Danio rerio: one gene and its partners. The protein of the gene in region 1 purifies or fractionates together with the protein of each later gene. This does not show direct contact. Links are inferred from orthologs where the notes say so. Each region holds a gene or a part of one and is shown in the gene's direction. Other genes may lie near its edges.

What was found. Proteins that work in one complex are often made in the same cells at the same time.
Region 2: the proteins of top1a (region 1) and eftud2 purify together in Homo sapiens (affinity purification with mass spectrometry; 3 studies listed by BioGRID and IntAct, with this or other methods). This does not show direct contact. The link is inferred for Danio rerio from reciprocal best matches to the Homo sapiens genes TOP1 and EFTUD2.
Region 3: the proteins of top1a (region 1) and cdkn2a/b purify together in Homo sapiens (affinity purification with western blotting; 3 studies listed by BioGRID). This does not show direct contact. The link is inferred for Danio rerio from reciprocal best matches to the Homo sapiens genes TOP1 and CDKN2A.
Region 4: the proteins of top1a (region 1) and supt16h fractionate together in Homo sapiens (co-fractionation; 3 studies listed by BioGRID and IntAct, with this or other methods). This does not show direct contact. The link is inferred for Danio rerio from reciprocal best matches to the Homo sapiens genes TOP1 and SUPT16H.
Region 5: the proteins of top1a (region 1) and parp1 purify together in Homo sapiens (affinity purification with mass spectrometry; 4 studies listed by BioGRID and IntAct, with this or other methods). This does not show direct contact. The link is inferred for Danio rerio from reciprocal best matches to the Homo sapiens genes TOP1 and PARP1.

Annotation. Positions count from the first base shown.
Region 1 is NC_133186.1:27,381,080-27,385,114, forward strand, and holds the end of top1a (DNA topoisomerase I, like), read left to right. Parts: intron 1-1,331; coding exon 1,332-1,434; 3' UTR 1,435-2,835; downstream 2,836-4,035. UniProt on the Homo sapiens protein: Releases the supercoiling and torsional tension of DNA introduced during the DNA replication and transcription by transiently cleaving and rejoining one strand of the DNA duplex.
Region 2 is NC_133178.1:15,084,021-15,088,305, reverse strand, and holds the start of eftud2 (116 kDa U5 small nuclear ribonucleoprotein component), read left to right. Parts: upstream 1-1,485; 5' UTR 1,486-1,765; intron 1,766-1,793; exon of another isoform or gene 1,794-1,845; intron 1,846-3,836; 5' UTR 3,837-3,847; coding exon 3,848-3,949; intron 3,950-4,285. UniProt on the Homo sapiens protein: Required for pre-mRNA splicing as component of the spliceosome, including pre-catalytic, catalytic and post-catalytic spliceosomal complexes. Component of the U5 snRNP and the U4/U6-U5 tri-snRNP complex, a building block of the spliceosome.
Region 3 is NC_133176.1:27,776,115-27,780,040, reverse strand, and holds the start of cdkn2a/b (cyclin-dependent kinase inhibitor 2A), read left to right. Parts: upstream 1-1,126; 5' UTR 1,127-1,388; coding exon 1,389-1,514; intron 1,515-3,172; coding exon 3,173-3,424; 3' UTR 3,425-3,926. UniProt on the Homo sapiens protein: Acts as a negative regulator of the proliferation of normal cells by interacting strongly with CDK4 and CDK6. This inhibits their ability to interact with cyclins D and to phosphorylate the retinoblastoma protein.
Region 4 is NC_133182.1:2,044,131-2,048,125, forward strand, and holds the start of supt16h (FACT complex subunit SPT16), read left to right. Parts: upstream 1-1,195; 5' UTR 1,196-1,469; coding exon 1,470-1,535; intron 1,536-3,995. UniProt on the Homo sapiens protein: Component of the FACT complex, a general chromatin factor that acts to reorganize nucleosomes. The FACT complex is involved in multiple processes that require DNA as a template such as mRNA elongation, DNA replication and DNA repair.
Region 5 is NC_133195.1:46,952,218-46,956,444, forward strand, and holds the start of parp1 (poly [ADP-ribose] polymerase 1), read left to right. Parts: upstream 1-1,427; 5' UTR 1,428-1,447; coding exon 1,448-1,570; intron 1,571-4,227. UniProt on the Homo sapiens protein: Poly-ADP-ribosyltransferase that mediates poly-ADP-ribosylation of proteins and plays a key role in DNA repair.

The DNA of each region.
Region 1 (4,035 bases):
AAATACTTTATTATTATTATTATTATTATTATATCTTCATTTTGGCTTTTAACCCCTACCACATACAGACATGCAATCATCAAAAGTCTTTGGTTCTTCACTTTAAAGCTGTAATGTTTAGTGCTTTAAATAATGAAATTTATCCCTTTTCTCTGTAATTTTTTTTTTGCTTAATAATAATAATAATAATAATAATAATATTTTTTAGGGCTGCAAAATATTCCGTTTCAGCATTGATGTTGCAATGTGATCATTCAATAGCCACATCGCAAGTATGTTGAGTCTGGATTATAATTGATCGTTTTGCCTTGTTTTTTGATGCCTGTGACTGAGGGGTTTAAAAGCATTTAGGCATAAGAAATTGTAACGTTTGTGTCTTTGACAAATTTACAACGATTGAATTTATGGAATTCTTTATAAAACGTAGACTATGCAGTATTAATTTACATTTGATTATTCAGTTATTGTACACCTGAATACAGTTTAACAACTCTTAAAAAATAAACACTATTAGTATCTTTTTTTATTTTTATTGTTAGTATCTGTGCTCGTAGATTTCATTATATTTTATGCACTTTCCCACAGAATCATCCCAATCAATCATATTTATTCAGCTCATATAGTGAATTTTTAATTATGTTGCAATAGATACGACCGAATAAAAAAAAAAAAAATCATTTTCATTTGTTGTTGTTGTTGTTGTTGTTGTTATTATGACTTTTGACTTATCAGAGAATTCATCAAAACCACACCAAGTTTAATAAACAATTGGCGTCTATTCTTTGTCTGAACTCTTGTCTTTGGCATTAGTTTTCAAACTGAATCTCCATCAGTCTCACCTGTGCTTCTGGAGCTTTGACCACTTGACCCAAAGCTCAAATCTAACTGGGTCGCTCATTTCATCACACGCTGATGGGGGAACAAAATTGAAGCACCGGTCAAAAAGCCCAAAATGTTGCTTTGTGCTGTGATATGGTGAAGCCTGGTGTGAAAACCTCCATAGGGATCTGTTGTTTTGATTGAAGAGCATGCTTGCGTCGCAGTGTGAAAGGGCTTTAAGAGGTGCAACAACAGTTTGGACTGAATGTGAAGAGTTCAGAAGCCATGACAAGTGCACTGCTATCTGAAAGTTTTCTTCTGAAATGAGCATTTCCTCCTATGTTTGTTCAGTTAATTTACTTTAAGGCAATGAAAAGAATCTATTCGTTGTTATTAAGATATAATTACTGAAGCTGCATGCAGGAGCCCGAGAGGAGAATTTCACTCTGCTTCATGTGTAGGTGAAATGATGCAGACCATCAATTAAAAATGTTTCATGTCCGTCTTTCCAGGTGTAAGAAGTTCGGCATCCCGATAGAGAAGATCTACAACAAAACTCAGCGTGAGAAATTTGCCTGGGCGATTGACATGGCTGAAAAAGACTATGAATTTTAAATCTTGTTTGAGATTTTACTTCTCCCTCCACCCACATCCTTTTTATGTTGTTTTAATAGATACTTTTAGTCAGTGATTTCCAGCAGGTTGAGAACCTGACGAGGGAAAAGATGTGAAGCGAGCGTAGTGTCCAGAGGAGACCTGAATGTCATGATTTCAGTGACGGGCTTTTGTGTTTCTCTCTTCGTTGATCAGTTGTGTTTTTATTTTAGGCTTTGACATGTAATCTTGTAGGTTTTATCAGGTCGTTCTTTTGAGAATGAAGTACACAAGGTTGCATGGTCCTCAAGCCAGAAACTGGAGAATCAGCGGCTCAACCTTTTTGAACACTTGTACTGTTTGTCTGTCCGTCTCCCCCCTCGGGGCTCTGGACAAACGGAGCCCGGGGATGTCACAGGGGGGAAAAAAACAAAACGTTGAACTTGCGTGGTCCTCTAGCTACTGTATTCAACTACGACTCGCTTTGTGGATCCTTTCAGTTTTAGTTTTGCTGTATTTTTAGCCCTCCTGTATTAAAATAAATTCTATATTTTAATAGAAAAATCAAAGAATCGCTTAAGTACACCCACACGCCTTGTTAGGAGAGAAACGTGTACACCAGGTGTGATTATTTTCTGGGAAATATGACCATGAAGAGCTGTGTGTTTGAGTGAGTGTTACGTGAACTGTTCTCTTTCAAACTCTTGTATAAACGATATCCAGACCACAAAGTAAGATGCTTGGATGAGCTGCAGGGGATTACAGCTTCAATTATATTTCCTTAAACATGCAGAATGTGAATTCCTTTTCCTTTTTTTTTTTTTTTTTTTTTTTTTTTTTTTTTTACAGCTTCTATATCAGGGTCTTGTTTCCAGTGTAAATGTGAACCAATTATTTCCCCCCACACTTTTGTCTCCCGTATCCTACAGCTTTGAGTCTCAATCTGGGTTTAACTTAATGTGTAATGACTGTTTCCATAAGATAAAACATTAAAAAAAGAAAAAGATTACAAAAAAAAAAAAAAAAAAGCGAAGCTCCTGTATCTGTTACTTGAAGATTTCACTATTAGGATGTGTTATTTCAGGGTTTGGCGAAAGGGGTTTGTTTCAGATGGGTTATGTGAGGGAAATCAACTTTGCCAAAAACAGTCTGTTATGATTGAAGCTGTTTTATTTTGTAATTGTGTCAAGATTTTAAGAATAGACTTATTTTAACATGGACTTTTAACACTCTTCATTTTGTTTTCTTTTGATTTTTCTTTCCCCTCACTCCAGTATGAAATCAAATGTTGTTAGTGGCAGCCATGTAACCTTTTCCAACTTATCGAGCTCATGCCATAACCTCTGATCACGTTTTCTTTCTTTTTTTATTTTCTTTTTCCTCAAGTGTAGGTTATTTAAAAAATAAAATCCTACAACATAACCCTGTCATGTTGCTGTTGTTTTTGTTTGTTTCAGATGAAGAGCTTTCTTGGTCTTAGCTGTTTAGTCCAAACCTCAAAACAAACTAAAATCTTTCATATAATCCAGTATTGTTTTCTTTTTTTTATGGGCTGCATCTTGGACTGGAAAAAGCTTTCATTCATCCTATTTAAATAATTTAGGGTAATGGTTTCATGTCTAAATTTTAGCATTTGACCCAATGAAAGAAAATATTGTTTATGGCAACTTATTTATTTTTCACTGGGTCAAGTGATCAAATTGTAGATGTGAACCATTACCCTAAATTCTTCTTGTTGGATGAATAAACATTTTATAGGAAGAGTTGTTAAGATTAAAACTATAGATTCTTGATTAGAAGAGAATTGACTTTCTTTAACAAGACAAATATGCTTTGTTACCGTTTATAAAAATTTTTCATCATTGATATGAATAAGTTGCCTTAATCTTTTCTATCTGAATAAAAGCAATTTTTTATAAGCTGGCACAAAATGTATTTGTCTTGAAGAAAGTCTATTAATTAAAATTCTCTTCTAAACAAGGAGAAATAGCTTTAATCAAACTAACAATTCGCATTAAATGTTCATTCATCCTGTTAAAAAACGGAGGGCAATAGTTTCACATACAAATTTCATCACTTGAGCCGATGAAAAATAAATAATTTGCCTTGATATTTAAGTCCTTGAAAGTACAAAACATGCACATTTAAAAAATAAATAAATTGCTGCTTCTTTAAATACATAAAAATTAGTTGAAACAACAAAATTCTTAAGGTTTTTTTTTGGGACAACTTAATTGTTATGTTGATTTTACTTAAATTTCAATTCCAATTAAAGTTAACTTAATTTGTGTTTGGGCAACAAGAAGGATTCATGTGGAACCCAGCATTATTTTATTAACAGAATATTGAGTTTAATTTACATGCACTGGCCTGTACGAGTAGGTAAAATATAACATTGGTCAAAACAAATCTTTCTTAGTTGAGCTCTTAATCAGAAACATTTATATTTACGTTTGAACTTAAAGTACACTGAAGAAATAATGTCTGCAAAATTGTTGCAAACAAATTTGTAGAATTTAAACAAATGAAAATTTGTTAATGTTCAACAGACTTTGTTCAAAATCAGCCCAAATAAATTGTTTACAACCACTTGTTTTTTTAGCACGTCCAAGGACTCATCTT
Region 2 (4,285 bases), on another chromosome or scaffold:
ATAATGAGATTCTTTCATATATAAAATCCCTTAAAGATCCTGAGGTGTGGAATCTGAAGCATCCATAATGCATCCACAAACATACAGTGAAAAAACAAATGATCTGTTGTTTCAATATCATCACAAAACACACATTTATTAGACTCAAATCCAAATCTAATTCCTAAATATTTACTTGACAGATTCATCCCACTTAAAACTTTAAAATGAACTTTTTTAGTTATTGGAGACAGAGGAAACTTTAAATATTTAAATATTTAATTTTAAGTACGTGAATGGTATCTTTTTAGATAATTTATGTGAAGTTGAGTTTTTTTTATAATTATTATTTTTTCCTTAATTATGTCTAAATAAGGAAATACTTTCTTACTCTACTCTTGTAACCCCAACTGTGCCTCGTGTGTTAACTGAAGTCTGTGATTTCAAAGAAAGAAATCTATGTAAAAACCAATGATTGGTAACAACATTTTATATCCTATAAAATGGATATAAAATGTTGTTACATAGATTTCTTTCTTTGAAATCACAGACTTCAATTAACACAGGAGGCACAGTTGGGGTTATAAGGGTAGAGTAAGAAAGTATTTCCTTAATTAGACAGACAAATGAGATAGAAATGGCTTTAAAGATTTAAACTTTACTGAATTAGAAATTATATTTAGTACAAACATTTTCATATGAAGTAATACCTTTATTGCTGTCAATTAATTGGGATACTGACAAATCTCTTTTCCCATCCATTCCTTGTCAAACAATGTTTTGTTTTTAATAGTGTTCACTTCATTTTATGACCATTTTCAGCCTACAGATATGCACCTTATTGTTGGAAGAAATTGTCTAGCTATAAAAAAAACTAGAATTAAAAATGTTTAACTGGTTTTGTTTTGATTTAGATTTTTTTATTCAGAGAGCTTATATTAGCTATAACAGAGTTTGGTTGTCTATTAGTAGGCTACATTTGCAAATTTTAAGTCTTATAAGTCTGTCAGTCACCCTACTTTTTGAGTACATACTTGAAAATGATACATGGTAGTAGCCTATGTATGTAGCTATAGTTTGTCAAGATAAATTCAGATCTAGATACTTTTTGTACTGAAAAACAAAAAAAGTTTTTTGTATAATAATTAAAGCTGTAAATCATACTTAAGATTACCCTTAAGTGTTTGAAGCCAATATCTATTTGAGCCACTTCATAGATATATATTCCATACATATATAATACACTCCATATGTGTGTGTATATATATATAATAAGATATCTATGGAGTCACTCAATGTTTATTTACGTTTTTGTTTTTACTCCAACATTAAAAAATAGTGGTCAAAATTTTAAAATTGATTTTTAAATATATGAAAACTTAAAAAAACATTTTTTTTAGTAAATCTTGGCTGACTGCGACATGTATTAGTAGCCTGTTTTTTTTTTTTCAAACAGGCAATATGCTTGGCGAACGCTGATGACGTCACCAACGTACGACCTACGTTGAGCTGTGCGAGGACCTCGCGGTGCATGGTTTGAAACAGTACGAGGGATCATTTTGTAACAATAAAATCACACCGGGATTAAAAACAAGACTCGCACACAGGTATAACACTGTTATAATACGCACTATATTTACGACGGAAATAATTATTTACACGAAGCAATTATTCATTCATTCGCTGTCGTACGTTTGCTGCGCGATCAGTTGCAATATCGGCTTTACTTGAGGCAGTTTCACAAGGGAATCTTTTATATTTATTGCGATTTTCAGTATGTTATGAGGTAATTTTATTCACTTTAATGTTTGCTGTGTTTATTGGGCTCTTAAAGATACATGTTCGACACTACAGCATTTTATTGAGGTAAAGTTTTTGCTCATTGACAACTTGTGTCACGTTCCCTTTGGTGTTTACATTGAGGTAAAGTTGGTTTTATATTCGGACTTTCCCTTTAATAATAGCTATAATTTAAAAAGATATGATTCTCTGCAAGTAGTGAACTCATATTAGCAGCCATAGACTTTCAAAGTACAACATTGTTCACAGAGTTAATAGAATTAAATTGTGCTAACGCTGTTTTGAAGTTAAACTTACTTTCTATTTCAGGCTGAATATTCAAAGTACAATATAGAGAAGGTATTAATTTAACGTTACCAGTTTCTATCCAAAACGCAAAACTAACTAGCACATTGGTTGGATGCAAATTAAGGTAAACTTGGTTATATTAGCACATTCATTCAGTGACAACTTGTGACATGTTTCTTATATTGTTTACAAGGCTACTTTCAATATTTGGTTTGAAATCACATACAAGTATGACTTCAAAACAACATTAGCACTGTTTGATTGACTGAACAATGTTGTACTTTCATAGTCACTGGCTGCTAATATGATTACCCCGTTTATAATTTGCAAAGAATACTTTTCTGAGATGATATTATCAATGAGAATGTGTGAATAGAAAACCAACTTTACCTCAATGTTACTTTTAATATTCAGTCTGAAATTGCTTCCAAGTATGAATTCAAAACTGTGAAGACTTTGACTGTGAGCAATGTTGTACTTTGATAGTCATCGGTAGCTAATATGAATTTCTTATTTAGAATTTGTAAAGAATACTTTACTGAAATTATATTATTAAGAAAAAAGTCTGAATGTTCGAATATTAAGATAAAAGTTTTAAGCAGAGTTTAATTAAGTTTAATTATTCAAAAACATTTACAGTGATTCGGACTATTAGGGAATAAACCTTAGTGTGTCACCTTTCAAAAGAGACCAAAACAATGCATAGTTACCTCATAGAATAAAATTGACTTCTAATGTATTTATCCCTTTTTCGTATAAAATAAAAAAAACAGATTTTTAAAAATACGGTTTCATTAAGCTGCAGTCTGGAGTAGGCATGAGACGATAACCATTTTTTAAGCTATACCGCGGTTTAGAAAAGTCAAGGTTTTAAAACCGTCAATTTTCTGCTATATTGTTCCTAGGGTATGAGTAAGATTTTTTAATTTACTTTTTTCTTAGTTTTTTTTTAGGACAGCAGAAAAGATATTCAAAGATTGCGTTTTAAATTTTTTACAAATCTGTATTTTTGAAACAAATGAAGGAAGCAGAAGTCAATAATTCATTTGAATTATTTAGCCTGACATGTTTACTGCTCCAAAATATTATGAATGTTTCCCAAATAAAATATATTGTGTACAAAGGGGAAAACGTTTTTATTTTTTTACCCAGACATTTAAAAGGAATATATTTCAGAGCAGTAATCGCAATACCTAAAACCGTGATATTTATATCCAAGATTATCATAGTATCAGAATCTTATACCAGCCCATGCCAAATCCGGGGTTTTAAAACATTTAACATCAAATAAATACTCTAAATATAGAAAAATCCTGCAATGTTTTAAACAAAAACCTTTATTTGTTTTTAGAAAGACACCCACAAATAAACTTTTTTTACAAGGGGTGAGTTAGTCAGCTAAAGTTAGTTGTAACATTTGTGATTTTTAAATATTTTAACAATCAATAATTTTACAATCGAATTTGTCACCTGACAAAGACCAATACTAAAAATGGTTAAAAATAGCATGCAATTTACTTTGGGTATGCATTTTGTTAGGCATTTAAGCAAATTTTACAGAAACGCTAAGAATTTAAACCAATTTTACCTCAATCAGCATTTTGTGCAGTAATACTAAAAGTGTTACAGTAACGTTTTTCCCAACACTAGAAAATAAAACAGACAGAATAATGAACCACTGCTGCATTTTAAATGAGTTGATCTGCATTCCGAATAGTTCCTCTGCACCAAAGTAAGTTATGTCATTTGTATCTGTTTTGTCCTATCAGAGCTCGTCGCCATGGAGACTGATCTTTATGACGAGTTTGGAAATTATATCGGACCAGAGCTGGACTCTGATGAGGATGAAGAGCTAGATGCAGAGGACCGGGATGCTGATGAGGTGATTGTATAACCTGTAATCATATTCAAACTGCCAAACCGTTGCTAGTTGGAGCATTTGTGCCATTTAAGTGCAGTTTCATTAACCCTATTACATTAACCCTTAATTGCCTGCTCAAATCGTTGACCAGCTTTTGACTTTTAAATAATGACTTTTAAAGTCATTTTAAGAATGACTGTTTTAATAATGGTTTACACGACACAGCATTGTTGGTTTATAAAATAATCAAACAAATGTAATCCTGTTTTGTTACTACACTCAATTTTGGTTTTATTGATATATATATACACACACACACACACACATATATACATACATATCTATATATATATATAT
Region 3 (3,926 bases), on another chromosome or scaffold:
TTTAGTTACATAGTTCAACTATTCTATTTCTACATGTTGTTTAATATCTATTCAACAAAACTAAGTAAAATAATTCATTTTTAATCGTTGCTTCTATGACATTTAAATTAAATTTTCTATTATTAACACTTAGCCAGTGGGGCTTTGCCAACTATTTTTTTTCTTTAATATTGTACTGCGTTGGTTTGTTATGATTATTTTATTTACTATTTCATATTTTAGTATCTATTTTGCATGCACATTAACCAATATTATTAACATGTTAACAACATCAAAACATGAATAAGTTAGAAAATTAAATACAAAAGCACACTGTTCTTCATTTTAAACAGGTGCATCTCAGAATGTGATTTTTACTTTATGTAAATGATCTACACAGCCACAGGACCCTTTATCTTTTTACTTATTTTCAACGTATTAGAGAGGCAACAAACTCACTGCTAAAATTAAAAACTATTTGCTACAATTGTTTAATACCTTGTTTCTGGATACAGGCTATAGTTTAGCTACAGTCGTGTGATGGGGAAATAGCATTACAAAACTGTAAGTCAGACGATGTTTGGGCAAAATTATGGCCATTCGCGTCCTTTCTATCGTGCAGAAAATAGATTTATGTTCATCTACAATCAAAAACAGAACAACCATTATGAAAAAAATATAAATATAGGCTACCACGAATGTATGTATATGCTTTTTTGTTATAATTTATGTGGATCAAAAATATAGTTTAACTTAAGCGCCCCACACAGCATAATGGCTAAATAATATACTTTAAAGTAGCCAAGTCAAACTTAATCTCTACAGGCCTAGCTAACATCGCGTCTTAATCAAAATCCATAAAATAACTTTACTCTTGAAAAACGAGAGATTTTTCCTGGTAACGTTAGCCTATTCCCGAAGAGTAACTTCTCCATGGCACAAAACCCAATTATGTTAGCATAATTAGCGTTGTGATATGCTTATGTACCCGAAAAAAAGAATAAAAAAACTTCTTGTGATCTAAAAGCAGGCTAATGCCAGTTACATTAGCCATAAAACATTAGCAGAACCTAATTTCTGTTTCTCTGCAGCCTCTCCTACTGTGTCGTAAACTCATGTCTTCCTGACTCAGCTGTTGTGCGCAGGCGCAGTATGACAGTACTGCACCACGGTTTTGCTGTGACGTTTATGACAGAGACAAGTCCGAACAAATATCTCGCTACGAAAAATTATTTTAAGACACAACACTTTGATAAACGAGTCAGTTTCGCTTATTTACGCATTATATTGGAACATGTTATTCATGGAGACCGATAAAAATAAATTACAGCGTTGAACTGATTGTTTTCGCAGTATCATCATCATTTGGTTTTACCTGTGAAGCGAATTAATTTCGAAAATCAATAAAGATGATGAACGTCGAGGATGAACTGACCACAGCAGCAGCCACCGGAAACATTTCCCATGTTCAGTTTTTACTTTCTAACGGAGTGAATGCCAATGTGGTTAACAAATTTAGAAGAACGCCTATACAGGTAGGTTTAGACGCGCTTTAAGAATAAACAACGGAAATAAACAAATGCAAATAAATAAATAAGATTAATTGCAGATATGTAACATTAAATTAGTAACATACAATTCAAAGACTTATTTTGTATTAAAGGTCATATTATTTAACAAATTTAGGCTATTTCATATTTTCACACCTGTTTGACTATATGGGATTTACTTTTCTTTTTTTTTTTTAAATATTAGGCTATTTGTGTATTTATTTTACTCATTTTAGCATGTTTAAGAACCTTTTAGGCTACTTAAACGGCCTGAAACATGTTTACCAATAGCGTGTTATCAACCTATATAATACTAACAACACTTTCTATCTTTTAGTAATGTCATTAATTTTAACATTATAATTTTAACTTATAGCTACATTCTTAGAAATTAGTCCGAAATAAGACAAGGAGTTTTGGATGTATTGTCAAAGTTCAAATTATTCAAAGAAAACTAAAATCTTATTGAAAACGAAAGTCCCAATGTACTATAACTGTGTATAAAAACCAAATGTTTACAATTATATATAAGAGATAGATAGATAGATTTATATACATAACAATAAATAAATAAGACATTTTATAGATCTTAATTTCAGATAAATTTTAAACTATTAAATCATATCTCTATGTGCGAGAAGAATGGCACACTACTTGCTAATTCACTCCCGAAAGCTTTGTTGGCATCGATGGTTTTAAGAAGAACCTTTTGCATCTATGGAGAAAATTTTTGAAAAATGTGCCTTTAAACTATTAAAATGTTTATTTCATTTTTTGACAATAAAAATACTTCTTTTGGAAGCTTTGTAATAGGTTTTCTGTGCGGAACCAGAAGGGCATCACTGCGAAAACCCTTTTCCTCTTATTGCCATGCTTGTTTTTACGAATGTACGTTTAATATTTTGACATTTGTACAGTTGGCCTATATTGACCAAAATAATCAGCCACCACTAGCACAGTCATAGACTAATGGAGTATATATTTTAGACCATACTTATTTTTGCTTGTTTTTATAATCGTGTAGGCCTATTATTATAATATTTGGTGTGAAAGTTTTCATCTAATTTTCACAATGTCCAATGGTTTTACGGTTCATGCTCTCGGTTACGGGACATCAAAAGCCGAAGAGGTAGCCTACAATAAAGTGCGTATAGATATCTTTTAGCACACTTTAAACAGATGGACAGCATACATCCAGAAATCGTAAAAGATTAGGCAATTGTAAAACTTCTGACGAGCATGAATTGCCTCAGAAAAATGTCAATTAAACGAAAGATGTTTAAGAAAATCACAAATGTGAACAAAGCATATTTATGGCATACATTTTATTTAAAATGATTATAGGAATCTTCATAATTAATCATATGAAAAATAAGAATTAGCTACAACACAATTTGTTGCATTTAATTGATTTACTGCCCGTGAATAATTTATTGATAGGCTAAAAGAGTAATGCATCATGCACAGCAATGTTCAGTGCCAGCATGTGCACTGCTTTCGTTCCTATTTAACCAAAAAGTATCTACTTTCCAGATTTCGAGTGATGGCAGTAAAATTATTGATTAAACAAACTTCTTTACAGTGACATCATGACGTTACTGGCGTTTATTTTTTCATGAGACAGCAATTTTCCCCCTCTCCAGGTGATGATGATGGGTAACGCACCTTTGGCTCTTGTGCTGCTGGAACAGGGAGCGGACCCTAATGTGCCTGACCCCGACACAGGGAGCACACCTCTGCACGACGCTGCCAGAACCGGATTCATTGACACCGTGCGGCTTTTAATCCGCTTCGGCGCCGACCCCAATACAAAAGATCACTGCGATTTACGACCAGTGGATGTGGCACAACAGACTGGCAACGTAGACGTGGTTGAATTACTCAATCGTGTTTAAAATGTTTAAAGACTGCATCACTGCATAGCCTAGGCTACTTTAGGTGGTAACCTTATTAATGCACTCAAGTACTTATAATTCTCAATAGCACATGGTCATTCATGTAGTTTGGAGATTCTAATCATTTAAAATTTTATTTCTGTATCTTTTAAGTTTATTTATTATTATTATTTATTATTAGCTAGTCAATGGGAACTTCAATAAAAGGCTACAGACACAAACCATCATACGCTCATGCTAGCCTATAGTTCGCATAATAAAAAGTGTAGACAGCATTATGTCCAAAGATAAATAAATAATTAAATAACATATCCACCTATTTGTTTTTAACCTGAAAAGCATGGCGACAAACATTGAATCAAATGGCTTGCAACGCAAGGACATCCAATATTTTTGGCGAGCTCTTTCTTTTTTCATTTCTTCCGGTTAAACATGCTTTTATTAAGTTTATAATATTGTACGACTAATAAAAATGAAACTTTCTATTTATACCAAGGCATAA
Region 4 (3,995 bases), on another chromosome or scaffold:
TTATTATTTAAATGTTAAAATAAAATGTAATTTATTATTTTTCATGTTAAAATTAATTTTAATTTATCATTTAAATGTTAAAATAAAATGCAATTTATTATTTAAATGTTACTATAAAATGTAATTTATTATTTAAATGATAAAATAAAATTGTATTTATTATTTAAATGTTACAATAAAATGTAATTTATTGTTTAAATGATAAAATAAAATTTTATTTATTATTTAAATTTTACAATAAAATGTAATTTATTGTTTAAATGATAAAATAAAATTTTATTTATTATTTAAATTTTACAATAAAATGTAATTTATTGTTTAAATGATAAAATAAAATTGTATTTATTATTTAAATGTTAAAATAAAATGAAATTTATTATTTAAATGTTAAAATAAAATTTTATATATTATTTAAATGTTAGAATTAATTTAAATGTATTATTTAAATGTTTAAAAAAACTAATGGAATATTTCAATAATCATCTAATTGTTATTTTGTTACCCACTTATTTTTTCCCAAAAAAACCCCACAGAGAAATATAATGGAGACTGTAAATAATTCAGCGCTCTCCTCACTCTGCTTCAAGCGCGCCAAACCCACGTGCTCTGCTGGAGTTCGCGCGCTTTTAAGTGACACTAGATGGCGGGAAAGAAGCCGTGCGCGTGAACGTCAAGAACGCGATGAGGTTCCCTCCAGGGCGGGGATTTCAAGACAGAGCTCATCACGTGACCACATTAACGTAGATTTTATTGGACGTATCCTACATGACGTCACTGCCAGGGCGGGAGTTTTCCGTGAGGGAGGGAAACGCAGGAAAACAAAAGCGTAATAAACACCGCACATGCGATTAAAATCCAACCTACATGCGGATATAGTTACTAAACAAGCACAGATGCCCGTCTCGTGTGTAGCTTGAGCTCAGCATTTTGAACTTTTTGGATGATCACGATGTTTAGCACATAATAACAATTGAACATTTGTAAACAGTCACAAAATGGCAGCATAATTAAATAAATATATGCATTTATAATTGAAATAAATAAATAATAATTAAATGGACAGCCTACAAGTTTGTGAAGTAAGCTAGATGTGCTCAAAATGAACGCGTGTTTTAATAAATGGAAATAAATGTTAAAGGGACGCGTATATATGAGAGGGGGCGGGGCTTCAGCGGACGCACATGCGTGATTATTCACTGCATTCACAGCGCGAAAGAGACCGACAGCACTTATAACGGCACTCAGGCATTTTAAACCGTAGTAACCGTCTTTTTAAAATTTGAATTTGAATATTTTTGAATTTGTCTCGCCGTCGTTATTTTTCTGAGCGTGTATCGAGTGTGTCGTGCTGTGAAGAACAGAAACAGTAGAGTGAAAGTGTGTATAAGTGTGTGTGAGTGAGTGAGAGTGTGTGTGTGTGTGCGTGCGCGCGCGCTGCTGGACTTCAGTGTGTGTGTTGATGTGATATTATGGCGGTGAGTCTGGATAAAGACGCTTTTTACCGCCGCATCAAGCGACTCTACGGCAACTGGAAGGTACGGAGAGCTCAGTGTGTGTCATAAACACCACAACATCTGATTATTGATCATATTCGATCATATTTATCCATATCTGATGTGTTTATGTGCGTCTTTGATGCTGAAATCCTCTCTCACACACATCTCAGGCCTCAGCTCTACAGAACTGTTAACGTTATATAAACACACTCCGCCGGTTGAGTTCGTGTTTTAGTGTTTATGGTGTGATTTCTGTTCGTTTATTAAGAAATAACTCAACTTTGCTGTTATTTTGAACGTTCATGTGTTGATTAGCGCAGCGGCTAACTGGTTAGCATGCTAGCATGTAATGCTTCCAGTTTTCACGTAATTTCCGCCTCATAATAAATCTCGTGTGTAGCATAAACACACGTTAAACACACAGACAGTGTGTTTCGTTCATGTTCTTGTATTGGTTTATGGCTGGTGTGTTTTTCGAGGATGCAGAAGTTGTGTGAGATGTAGCATGTAAGCTAGCTTAGCTCGTACTAAGACATGCTGCAGGTGGGAAACAGAACTGTTAGCATCAACTTAAGTGTTACTTTGTTGTAAACTTGAGTCTAAATTGTGTTTAAAGGGTCTGATGACTCGTTTCCTGAAGAAAATTATTGTGCTTTATGCTTATTGTTTTACATATGAAGGGTTTAGATGCAAAAACCTATCAAAGACATCTGATATTTTCTTCTAAAATGACCATTTTTCTCCAACTCCTGTGTTTAGGCTAGGTAATTTTACTTTAATAGTGACAAATAAGTTATTAACATTGCCTTTAAAGTGAAAAAAACTGAACATAAACAAGAGGCTGAAATAAATGTTCAGTTTAGGAGAACATCTCAGATAGCTTTGAGGTTTTTGCATCTGAACTCTTCATATATTCTATAATCACTTCGCTATAATATGATACCCTGGACCACAAAACCAGTCAGAACTGTGTGGTTAAGTTAACTGAGATGTAAACATGATCTGAAAGCTGAACAAAGCTGCCTGGTAATGTGTGGTTTGTTAGAAAATATACAAAATATAGCACTTCTGATGCGCAACCATTGAAAAATCTGAATAGAGGTGAAGTTGGTTTTATATTGGGATATTCAGACATTCTCCTTAATATAATTTCAGGAAAGTGTTTTTTGCAAATTTTAAATAGGGAAATCATATTAGCAGCAAATTAATATCAAAGTGCAACACTGTTTACAGTCAATTAGATAGTGTTACTGTTATTTTGAAGTCATACTTGCATGCTAATTCCAATCGAATATTCAAAGTAACAGGGAAAACAATATAGAGACTTCTAAATGAATGAATGTGTGAACCAACTTTACCTCTATGAAATTTGAGGGATCAAGTACAGGGTTTCATAGAGGTAAGGTAGTTTTTTTATATTCACACATTCGTTCATTTAGCAGTCTCTATATTGTTTATTATGTTAATTTAAACATTCGATCAGAATTAGCATGCAAGTATGACTTCTAAACAACATTAACACCGTCTAATTGACTGTAAACAGTGTTGTACTTTGATAGTCTTTGGTCGCTTGTATTATTTCTTTATTTAGAATTAGCAAAGAATACTTTTCTGAAAATTATATTATTAAGAAGAATGTCTGAATATCTGAATATAAAACTAACTGCACTTCTATCAGGGTTTCTGAGAGGTCTAAAAGTCTTCAAATGTCTTAAATATCAAAATCCAGATTTTAATCTTTGAAGTCTTAAATTTACTACAATATTGTGTTGTAGGTCTTAAATTATTTTTTTTTTAAACAGGTCTAAATTTCCTTTGTTCAACTATTGCTGCTCAATCTGGCCCAAACCCATACATTCACCAACAATCATCTCAATATAACTTTAAACTTTATTTAAAAGGTAATTTTTGAAACTTTATCATAATGGTTTAGTTACTTTCCTTACAATAACATGTTTAAATGTTCTCCTGAGTACACCGACCTGGACAGACTGTTGCCAATGGATTTTGTTTATTATAGTTTTCAAACCGTTTGTTCATTTTTTTATTTTAAAGAAATATTATGTTCGGGGAAAAAAAAGTGTATGGAGACAAGCAGAGCTTGCTTGTTTTTACACAATATTTAAAACATTTAGCTAAGAAATAAAATCTAAAGTATATAAATTGTTTATTATTACTGTATTATTAAATGTATTAAATTGTAATAAATGTTTTTGATAGGTCAAATAATTTTTTTTTTTCCATCTGGGCCATTTGAAAAATTCCTTAGCCTTTAGCCCTTTGTAAGTCTAAAATTTCATTCATAATGGTCTTAAAAATATCTCAGTCTTAAATTTAATATACCACTTCTGATGTGCAACTTTTGAAAATCTGATATCTGAGGCATCGACTACAGAGTTTCTGCGAGGTCTTCAAATGTCTTATATCTCAAAATCCAGATTTTAGGCTTTTTTAATATTTTTGATGGGTCAAATAAAAATATTTTCCACCTGGGCCATT
Region 5 (4,227 bases), on another chromosome or scaffold:
GGAAGCTTGACGATATTTTATATTTGTGCATATACATTAAATTAGTCTGGACTGAAGCCAAATCTGGAGCTTATATAACTAAATTTGTAGTCCAAATGTATAAGTTAGGGAAAATATTAAATAATTTTTCAAAGAGCAAAATCCAAGAGAAACAAAAAAATGTATAAAATTTTGTGAAATTTTGTAGTTTGTAATTTTCCCCCAATATTTCGCAATAATTGAAGCATATTTTTTCTTTCTATTTCTAAAGATGTTTAGTGACTAAAATATTATTTTATTAAATATATCTGTTTCATCTGTTTTGTTCAAATGCACCAAAATATATTACCTATATTTCTTGATAAATGGGTAAAATATTCATTTTCTAAATGGGGTGTATTCACAATTATGCTGAGCACTGTGTAAACATATGACACAAAACATATAACTAGGCCAACGCGGAATCTGCACACGCAGAATTCCACATAATTTTAGACCATCATTGATTCTGTTTATTTACTTGTGTAAATGTTTTAAAATGTATATTTATTCAGTTTGTAAATTCATTTTAGGATAATTATTGGCTAATGTGAAAATATTCGTATGATTTATTTACAGTACAGTTTGTAAAGTATTATTTTCTGTCTTTTAGTAGAGATATTATATGAGACACTTGCTTTGTTTACCAAATAAAGTGGATCAAATTGAATTTGCATTGTAAACATTAAATACAAGTTAGAAAGCTATTATTTTTTAATTCATATATGAAGGTTTTAGTTTTGATACTCCCAAAATTATTCCATAAATCCGCAGATTTTTAACAAAATTCTTTGCAGAAAAAGTTAAAAAAATGTCCGCAGATTTTTTCTTGCCCTACTTACAGAGGCGCAAAAAAGGGGTGTGCACTATATGCGGGGCTTAGGGGCGCCATACATGGGGGGAGCGGGGGTGTGCCAAAACTATTTTTGAAATTATTAATACTTAAAGTTTTTATTAATCAAAATAAATAAATATTTTTTGTTAAGAATGTTTATTTTGCGTTTAAATTACATGATAATATTGTATTTTATTAGATAAAGAAAATCATACTGCCTAAAGGCGCATAAAATCAAAATCAAATCAAATGGCGCCTAAAAATAAAAGGTATTATTATTATTATTATTAATTTTATTATACCACCCCAACTTGAACCCGCATACCTTTAAGTAAATTTGCAATTGCGCCCCTGCCTACTTAAAAGATTTTTCTTCAGTGTTGAGGAGCTTTGAGTTCGATTAGCTTTGTCTGCGCATATTCTCCACTACTAGAGGAATGTGGGCTCGATTGGTTTGGGCTGGTATTCTGCGCGGGTGCTTCTGCACGCGGACTGACTGCGCGCTATTCCTCATTGCGCTGTAACGTGAGTTGTCGGCCTGTCTGACTAGAATTAGTCTGCAAACTTCTCCTTTTAACAGAAATATCTGCAGAGATGGCCGACTCACAGGACGACAAGCTGTACAAAGCCGAATATGCAAAAAGCGGACGCGCCTCATGCAAGAAATGCAAAGACAACATTGCTAAGGACTCGCTGAGGATGGCCATCATGGTGCAGGTGAGGGAATTATTGTTGTGTGCAACTTTTTGGAATTAGCTCTGCTTCAGAAACATCCTTAAAATTCTATATTTGGTGGAAATGCGTTTGGTTGTGCAGGTATGCGTGGCGAAATGTATAGTAAGTGTACGTACACAAATGAATGAACAGGTTTCTAAGGCCCAAGATGAGTTTAAAGGGATAGTTCACCTAAACATTTTAAATTTGCTCACCCCCAAATGGTTTTAAATTTTTATGAGTTTGTTGTTTTCTGTTGAATACATAAGGAGATATTTTGAAGGAAGCTGAAAACCTGTACCCATTCACTTCCATTGTAGAAAAATACTATAGAAGTCAATGGTTACAGGTTTTCAGCTTTTTCCCAACTGTCTTCTTTTGTGTTTACTGGAGAAAGAATCTCTAATAGGTTTGTAACAGGTGAAGAATGAGCTAATGATGACAGCATTTTCATTTTTGGGTGAACTATCCCTTTAAATGGTCCTCTGTTATCAAATAATAAGCAGTGTTTTCCTATGAATATTAGCTTTAATATAGCTGTGTAATTAGCACAGTATTAGCTGGAAACCAGTTTAATTTGAGAAAACATTAAGGAAATAAATAAAGCTGCACTATTTCAATGCAATAAAGCTCAGTAAAATGTTTAAATTGACTAAAACCTGTTTATTTTCAATACAAGTATATTTATTTCTGAATTCATCATTACTCGCCACCTTATTATTGATTTATTATGCAGCTATATAGATCGTAATATTTCCTAAAACCGCATTTATTTACTAGGGTACACTTTCAGCTAATTAATGTTGAATTATTTAAATGTACTTTTAAAAATAAATGTAACTACCATACTTAAAGTAGATCAGCAGTGATTTCCTATGAATATTAGCCTAAATATAGCTGTGTGATTTTCTGGAATCCAGTTTAATTTGAGAATACATTAAGAAAATAATCAAAGCTGCACTATTTCAATGCAATGAAGCTCATTATTATTTTTAATTGTCTATATCATGTTTATTTTCAATTTAAGTCTTATTAATTTTCTGAATTCATCATTACTCATTGCCTTATTATTGATTTATTATGCAGCTATATAGATAGTAATATGTGCTAAAACCACTTTTATTTACTAGGCTACACTTTCAGCTAATTAATGTTTAATGATTAGGTGTACTTTTTTTAAGTAAACGTCCATACTTAAAGTAGATTAGCAGTGCTTTTCTATGAATATTAGCTTAAAATAACTGTGATTTGCACAAGATTTGCTGAAAACCAGTTTAATTTGAGAATACATCAAGAAAATAAACAAAGCTGCATCATATCATTGTAATTAATCTCAGTAAAATGTTTAAACTGACTAAATTCTGTTTATTTTTTATGCAAGTCAATTTATTTCTGAATTTCTTATTACTCATTGCCTTATTTTATAGATTCATTATAAGCCATAGATTGTAATATGTCAGGGCTTGCAAAGTCTGGTACCTAGATAACCCACCAGGCTTTTTGGTAGCCCGAATGAAAAAACAATAGCCCCAGATTTTGTAAGCCCTGTATGTGCAAAAAACACTTTTATTTACTTTCACCTAATTAATGTTTAATGTTTAAGAGTGCTTTTGCTAAAAAATTAAATAAACAAACTAACATACTTGACTGAGTGAAGCAGGTCAGCAGTGATTTCCTATGAACATTAGCTCAAAACAGCGGTGTGATTTGGACAATTTCGCTGGAAACGTGTTTCATTTGAGAAAACATTTAATGAAACAAAGCTACACTAATTTAATACAATGAAGACCAGTAAAAATGTGGGTCCCACTTTAGATTAAGCAACCTTAACTAAAATGTACTCGCACTGAAATTAATAATTCATTACAATGTACTTCTTGTGTAAATATGTGTTTTTACATGATACTTATGCTTGGTTAAATACCTGCATGTAAATACATCTGTAAGTTCGTTTGTTATTTCACTGTTAATCATTGCTTATACCTTAAACCATAAAGACGCCACCAATCCAGTCCCTAAACCTACCCATATTCCACCTCAGGAGGACCAGAAGTGTTCAGCAATACATCATGAACACATTAAGTGCATTGTATTTATTTTTTCATGTAAGTACATAGTAGTTGAAAAAAAAGTGGGACCAAAATTGTTCAAATTGAGTAAGTCCTGTTTATTTTTCAGTGCAAATCTTTTTTTTTTCTTCTGAATGTCTTACTATTTGACTTGTTTGACGATTTATTAATGTATTGTTTACATTTGTACAATATTTCTGCACCATTAAAGGGGATAGTTCACCCCAAAATTAAAATTGTCTTATTTACTCTGCCTTTAATTGTTCCAAACCTTTAAATTGTTCTGTTGAGCACAAAAGAAGATAGATAGATAGATAGATAGATAGATAGATAGATAGATGGATAGATGGATGGATGGATGGATGGATGGATAGATAGATAGATAGATAGATAGATAGATAGATAGATAGATAGATAGATAGATAGATAGATAGATAGATAGATAGATGGATGGATGGATGGATGGATTGATGGATGGATAGATGGATGGATGGATGGATAGATATTGTAATCATTGCTGTAAAATGCGATATGATTATTTAAATGATGTGCACGCTTTCATTTTCACTGCTAAGTGCTGTTCATACTTAG